2 linked regions of the Drosophila melanogaster genome follow. The protein of the gene in region 1 interacts with the protein of each later gene in a biochemical or structural test. Each region holds a gene or a part of one and is shown on either strand. Other genes may lie near its edges. The genes, in order: chinmo and Sox21a.

The links.
Region 2: the proteins of chinmo (region 1) and Sox21a form a complex in vitro, tested with the Drosophila melanogaster proteins (one study listed by BioGRID).

The regions. Positions count from the first base shown.
Region 1 is NT_033779.5:1,649,661-1,653,588, forward strand, and holds the start of chinmo (chronologically inappropriate morphogenesis), read left to right. Parts: upstream 1-1,597; 5' UTR 1,598-2,052; intron 2,053-3,114; 5' UTR 3,115-3,928. UniProt on the Drosophila melanogaster protein: Required for morphological differentiation of postmitotic neurons during postembryonic brain development. Ensures production of appropriate neuron subtypes within a lineage by preventing precocious generation of late neuronal types of that lineage.
Region 2 is NT_037436.4:14,106,221-14,110,148, reverse strand, and holds the start of Sox21a (Sox21a), read left to right. Parts: upstream 1-2,030; 5' UTR 2,031-2,341; intron 2,342-2,990; 5' UTR 2,991-3,074; coding exon 3,075-3,607; intron 3,608-3,928.

The sequences.
Region 1 (3,928 bases):
GTGGATTTAGGAGGTGGAGTGAGGTTTATTGGCGCTCGACCGAAAAATGCACTGCATTTTTCGTTATGGAAAGGGTTTGATCTAGTGGTATTTTTATAAAATAAAAATATATGAAATTAATTTAAAATGCATCGAAAAAGAATTATTAAGGAACGCGTTCCGGAATAATTCCACTTCCGACTGGGGAAGCAAAAGCAGCAGCAAAAGCAGGAGCTTTTGCCTTTGCTTATTGGATTTTCGACGCCGGCACTCCACGTGTTTCTTGAATCGCGTAAATTGTTCGTTTTCCCTTACCACACCCCGCCCCTTTACCGACAAGCTTTCATTGTCATTGTGTGTGCATAAAATGGCAGCAGAGAGAGAGAGAGAGAGAGAGAATGGGAAAACATGCGCCAAAAAAAAGCTTACCGCTCTCTCCTCTCTTTCGCTCACTGCAAAACGAATGCGCATTGTTATTGTTTTTGGCAAGGCTGCACTGAAAAAAAAATACTGTTGCTAACGAACTGTCAATGAATAGAAATAAGGTAATTGTTTGATTCAACTTTATCAACTCTTTTTCCACTAAAATTAAGTGGTTATTGTTTGATTGGCTAGGAATTTGATATTTTTGATGGGAATTGCATTCAAAAAAGGGACTCCTGACACTTGTGTGAATAGGGGAAGTTTTTGGGCTGAGAAATGAAAAGCATTTTGAGGGTTTTTGTTCCAATTTTGATGGTTTGATCGGAAAGTTCTCAAGGGATATGCAAATTATGCGAGAACTGAGTAGTTAGGTTATTATTGTTTTCTTCCTAGAAATCAAAGACCAATTGTAAGAATTTTCTAAAGAATTCCAAAGAATTCCACTAAAAAAATTTTATCCTTTACTTTTGTTTTCTGAGAGTGATCAAGATTTTAAAGAAACGTAATGCGTTCTTTTGCATTAAAGCTATGCAATTAACATTTTTCCCATATTCCCATCTTAACTCATTGTGCCGATCTTAAAGTGGTTTTCCATATAAATCGCCTCTTGCGAACCCTATTTCTATTGCATCTAATATTCAGAGACCACCTGGATGGAATCCCCCGCTGTTCGAATAGGTTAAGACCAAGTTAAGGTTTGCTTTTGCTATTTCGGGACGAGATTTCCCTAAACATTTTCCACTTGAGCGGAGCTCCTATAAATTACCTCATGTCCTTTGCCTTATGCAATTGCGCCTGCAAAAGAGAGAGTGAGAGAAAGAGTGAGAGACTCACCCCCGGATTATGAGGATATATGTAATTTTTATCCTGGGGCGGCAGTGCATACACACAGAAAAAGACATGCAAAAAGCAGTTGCAACGACCATTACTTCTACTCGCCTGAGTAAATTGTGTTCTAAAAATCATTAAAAAAAAATATGTAAACTATTTTCTGTTATACTTTAGACTATTTTCGGTTATCCTTTTTAAGAATCCTTGTTGGAGATGTCCAATCTGACAATTGCAAGTTGCTCGCCTGCATTCCAATTGGATTAAAAGCTCGCTCGCTCGCTCGCGCTCTCTTTCTCTCTCTCTCTACGGAGCACACCACTGCACGCTTGTTCGTTCGCCGCCTGTTGGAATCGAAATCGAATCGGCAGTCAAAAAGAAACTGCCGTGTTGAACGGACGTGTTGAAGTTTCGCGGTTGCTTGTTTCGGTGGTGCTCGCAGCAGCAGCAGCGTTTGTGCATTCGCATTCGCAGTCGCAAATTCGCATCGCCTCGTCGCTCGTCAGCCCTGGCAACTGCAGGCAACTCAAGTTTTACACGTAAATTAAGAAACGAGGAAGCACGGACAGAATCGAAACCGCTTGATAAAACAGTTATTCTCTACATTTCTGAACTGAAAGAACTGCAGCGGATGAAGTGCAAAAAGCGAAAAGTGCTAAAAGTTTGCGGCATTGAACACTTTTAATTATTATTTACGTTTTGTTTGTGTTTCGTCGAGCAAAGCAAATGCACAAACTAACTGTCCAGTGTGCATGTGTGTGGCAAGAGTGCGTGAGTGCGTCGTGAGTGTTGCAAAACGGCTGTTCGCCTAGTAATTCAAAGGTAATTTTGAGTGAATATTGATCATATTGAAGTGCATGTGGTATGTTTCAAAGCTCAAATAAAGTGACATAAAATCAAAAATGAACAATTATGCGTGTGTACTTGGTTTTCTCGCACACATGAAATTCTGGCCTATGTGTGTGTGTGTGTGACTTTGCAACTCGAATTTCAAACGGTACAAAACGCAGCATAAAAAATGAAGCGAATAGCAAAAGCAAACTGAGAAAAAGTGAAGTATAGACTTTTATGCATAACCAAAACGTCTGCATTTTTAATCAAGCAACAACAATAGAAAAATAAGCAAAAGCAAACTACAACAACAACAGCGAGGAGTACATGGAACAATAAACAACCCTCCCCGTTTTCCGCCTCCCCCTGAAAATAAACAAGGCGCAATACCAGTGAACTGAACCCCTTTTTTGCACTGTGTGTTTATGTGTGTGTGTGTGTGTGTGTGTGCTACGAAATAGCAATTAAGGGAGAATAGAGGAAAGTGCATGAAGTGCAGGAAAGAAGGCAAAATGCAATTAATCCCCAGGACACTTGTTCAAAAAAGCGAGAGAAAAGTGTAGAATAACGGTGAACAAGTGTTGAACAACTACAGAAATACACTACAAAATGTGAAAACTTCTTAAAAATAGTTTTGAAGTAAATGTTCTTAAAACAATTAGACAATTCACTGCTCAAATAAAAATGTTTCCCCTTCCCCAAAATTTCCAAGTCCCAATGCCATATAAAGTGTTTTTGAGTAGAATAAAAGACATTTGCCAGAAGCAAAGTGGGAATTACGGTCCCAAAATGGGAAAATGAAATATATTCTGCGATAATAAAATCATTAATCCAATTCCACTTACAAGAAATCGGGCTGATAAGAAACCAGAAATTCTGGGCACAAATGAAATGAAATTTATTCGGGTGAACTGTGACAAATTAATATAATATTAAAAAGAAAATGAATACTTAAAACATGTCACATTATCCCCGAATAGATTTGAGTTTCAATCAGCCAAATTCCACTTACACTTTTTAATAACAATTTTCTAACCGCTTTTGTATTTGCAGCCAAATGTCAATGTGAAAATGTCTCAACGAGCAAATTTTAGGAAAGTCAAGAAAAACATTCAACGACCTCAAAACCAGCGAATGCTACAAAATGCGAATCAAGAACATTTAACCATCTAAATATTCAAAATCAATTTAATTGAATCAAATAACGCGAAATTGCAACAAATCAACCTAAAAATGAACTGAAAACAAAAACATTTCGAAAAACAACGCAAAATTCTAAAATTGGCAACATAAGTTTTGGTCTTGAATTAAATACAACAAAAATAAATTAACAAAAAACGATTTTTGGCAACAAAACATCATACATAAAATATACACAAATTGTAATTATCTCAAAACGTCCACACGTGAAAATGATTTGCAACTAAGATGACAATCTAATAAAATCAATGTAAATTTTTAACGCAACAAAAGGAAAACCAAAACCGTCAGCAAAAACCAGCCCAAAATCAGTTGAAAAGCCGAGGGAAATCTTTTTAGAACAAACGCAGAAAACCGCAAAAATTTAAGCCACCAAATTGGTAAACTATTCAAAATTATTGGTTCGGACATACGCAATACTAAACACAGCAACACAACAACAACAACAACAACAGCAACAACAGCAGCCATAGCAACTACTACAGTGATCACTACAGTAAAAGCAACCGCAACAGAAGCAGCAGATAAAACGTGTGTGTTAGTTTGCATAAAAATTTCGTTTCGATAAAAGCAAAGCAAAATCATTTAACAAAATAAATAAAGAATAAAGTAAAAAAAAAAATTACCAATCGTAATACATGTATTTATAAAATATATACCTATACAT
Region 2 (3,928 bases), on another chromosome or scaffold:
GTAGCATTGTCTACGCCATTGGTCCACAGTGTCTGAAATCGACATGCGCGCAGTTGCAGGGGTGCGAGGAGGGGTGGCAGTGGGCGTTGGGGGTGATTTAAGTGGGGGGTTGAGGTTTGGGGCAGCTCACACACACACACACACACATTTCTAGAGCGCTGCCATTTTTATTGTTGTGCGATGGTGAAGGGGGGAACCCGCCAAATGCGTTTCCTACTTAGCATTTGTTTTGGTGAAGAAGGATATGGGAGAGGGGCGAAAAGAGGGGTAAGTCGGGGAGTAGAGGGCAGAAACTCTACAAAAGTTACGACCATTTGAAGAGCGACGCTTGCGCAAAACAACCCCTTAGGAAGATATCTTTTTATGGCGCCAACAGTTGTTTTTTAAAAATGCCAAGGAATGCAGAGCAAAAATCCTTAATTGCTTTATTCCTTAACCTTTTCAAGGAACGCAATAAAATTAAAAAAAAAATTTAAAATAAAAAGCACTGCGACGATTCATTTATCTTTAAAATGTTGTTTTTGTTACTTTCTAGGTCAAATTAATTTGAAGATTTAGTATATACTGTGGAAATGTTGCTAATAGTCCCAATAATCGTTAAATATTATTGCAAAAGCATATTTAATTAAAATTAATTGTGATCGGGAAATTATTGTTCCGGATGTACTATACCTAGCATATTACACACTTTTCTATTGACATTACACTGTAAACACCGGGAAAATTGTCTAATTTCTTAGTATTCGTCAAGGGAGAAGCTCCGTTGGCGGAACATTGAAACCGTCAATTATAAAGAGCGGCATTTATAAGAAATTTTAGCAAATGTATAAAGGTGGTACTATTAAGGGATCAAGGGCTTCTAATCGTTGCAATTATACAGAAATCGTTATTGGTACAGCAACAACAAGAATTGAGAATTTCCTGTGTGTGACAAACAAGGAGAGCAATTGAAATAAGCGGCCCAACCCTGCCAACAAAAAGGGCCAATCTTGCGGATACCGAAGCTTGCAGCAAACATACCAAATAAGCCACCGATCGATTGTGAGAGCAAACACCGGTCTAATACACAGTAAGAAATTATAGTGCCATAACCATATAGTGTAGACCATGCATATAAGTAAGTATCCAATATTTGGTTAATTGTAGTATAAGATTCAAAAGCTAAAGTGTATTTTTCATTCGATTGATTGTTGCCACTCCGTTTTGTATTCCATTTAAATAAACTAATCAAGGCATTTTTTTGACATCTTAAAAATGGGTTCTCATTCCATAGTTAAGAAGAGCTATAAAGTAGTTTAACTATGCCTTTTATTTGGATCACAAATGCATAGAAGAAAAACAGAACTGAATAATAAAGTGTTTTATAAACGTACCAATTTATGATTTAATATTTTGTAAATAAATATAGCAGCGAAATTCTCAGAACTAGCCGGAATTTTCTTGAATTTTTCAAAGAAAACTATTTATATTTACAATAAAAATTGATATTGGTAGCTTAATATGAAATATGTTATTGGGCTATTCAAATTTTCAAAATTATTTTTGTGTTACGGTTTTGATAAAAAATGCAGATATCATCAACTGGCGAAGAGCAAAAGGAGCAATGTTTGGTAAACAAGAATGCAAACGTGCACACAAAACGAAAACAAACCCGGAGACTATTGTCAATAAGATACAAAACGCAGATACAAAGATACAAAGCAGCAGCAGCGAATTTTTATCACTTAGCCGCCACGTTGACGCGTCCTCCGAAGGTGTAAAAAACTCTACAAAATGTGCGCGCTCTCTCTCTCTCTCTCTCTCTCTTACTTGCGCGACCCTTCTCCCTTGCACTATCTCTCGCCTTGTCTCGCTCCCACTCGGTCCTTTTGGGCGGCAGCGACGCAGCAGCGACCAACCACTACAGAGACACCCTCATACTTACAAACACCCACGTTCTTCCTCTTGCCCCTTTTTGTTGCGTTTGTTTGCCGTTTTTGTCGCAAGTTTTCGAATGTGTTTTCAAATCTAAATTGTCGCGCACTCGAAACGGACGCGCTGCGCTCGGCTAACGGTGAATCGGCAGTCTAACGGTTTAAATACTTTCAACGTTCGTAAATTCGAGGCTCTATAAATCTCGAACTGTTTGGAAAATAAGTTAAAAATTCATATCAGTGCACTTGTGTATTTTTAGGAGTTCTAATGGCGATCAACAATAATTAACCTAGTAATATTAATAAACAAAAAGAACTCGATCGCAACGTAAACTCTTGTGCAATTAATTAGATAGTTAAGTGTCACGCATCGGATGGAATCCAAATTTAAACTTTATTAGGGAGAAATTAAAAGACAATTAATACAGGTAAGCTAATTATGATGATGAGAAAAGGTCCCTAGGTAAACAATTCGAATATTTAAATATGAAATGAAGAAAAAGCTGTGCTCTAAATTAAACTATTGCACACTCCTCCCCAAAAACTAAACACTTTAAAAAAGCGAAATAAGCGAACAAATATATTTTCTTAAAAAAGAAACCAAAAGATTTATAAGGATATGAAATATATAATGAATTTTATGAATATTTGCAATTTTCAATGTTAGAAAAGCCTGTTTTAAAAAATATATCATTTTCCAATCCAATCTTTAATTAATTCATCATTTGAAATCGAATTTGGCAGTACTGTTAATATGCAAATATACGTTCTTCAAGGAATATATTTTGGATAATATTAATTTAAGGGAAATCCCCAATTTTGCAAATACTCAATACTGAAAACTGATTTGAATTACTGGTAAATATTTAAATTGGTTTGTCATAAAACCGGGACACCATTTTGAGCCCCCTGTACACACACATTAGAAGGGGTAAATGGAGTTCCATTGTGCATATTTTTGGTAAGCTATTCGCAGTGCGAAGAGCTCCAATCAAATGACTCATGCAGGGAGCAGCAGACAGAGTCCCCAAGCTAACAAGGCATATCTATTGAATACCATTTCCGTTGGCATTTCAGAGCTCGAGGAGCAGCTGCAGCACTACCACCTGATAATTACCACCTGCACCCCCATTGGAGTCCCTTGACTCCGCGCCCGGCATCATGACGAGCATCTCGGCCCTGCTCCATCGGAGCCACAGCCACAGCAATGGTTACACGAGCAGCGGGAGTAGCAATCACAGCCATAGCAGCAGTCTCTCACCGCAGTTGCCCGGCATCAATTTGGGTTTGGGCATGGTCGGTGGCTTGGGCATGGGTATGAGTGTGGGAGTAGGCTCTGGATCGGGAAACACCACCCCACCACCGATGCCGCCAGCTGACCTCGCCGTTCCGCCAGCGGCCCCCACTCCGGTGGCACCCAAAATGCACCAGCACACGCACCACCATGGCAACTCCCACCATAATGCCCCGACCAGCCACTCGAATTCGAATACTGGAAGCCATCACAACAGCCACGACCACATTAAGCGACCAATGAACGCTTTCATGGTCTGGTCGCGGGGGCAGCGTCGCAAAATGGCCCAGGACAATCCAAAAATGCACAATTCTGAAATATCAAAACGCCTGGGCGCCGAGTGGAAATTACTCACCGAAGGACAGAAGCGTCCATTCATCGACGAGGCAAAACGATTGCGGTAAGTATTGTTCACTGGGGTCTGGTTAAAAAGCACTGAGAAAATATGTATGTACTAAATTTGTAAACAGAAATAAGAGTATTTTCTTACCTGGAAAAGTCCTTACCTTTCAATTCAAAAGTTAATTTTCCAAGTCTATTATTAATAGGGTTTATTAGGGCGAAGTTATATTTAAAAAAAATAAAAAGATATGGATCCCATTGATGTTAAAAATCACAGATTATCATATTGCAGTAATCCTATATTAATTTAAACTAGGAAAAACATAGTTCTTGTATTTTTTGTAGTTACCTCCGCTTTCTATTCTTGGATATAAGAATT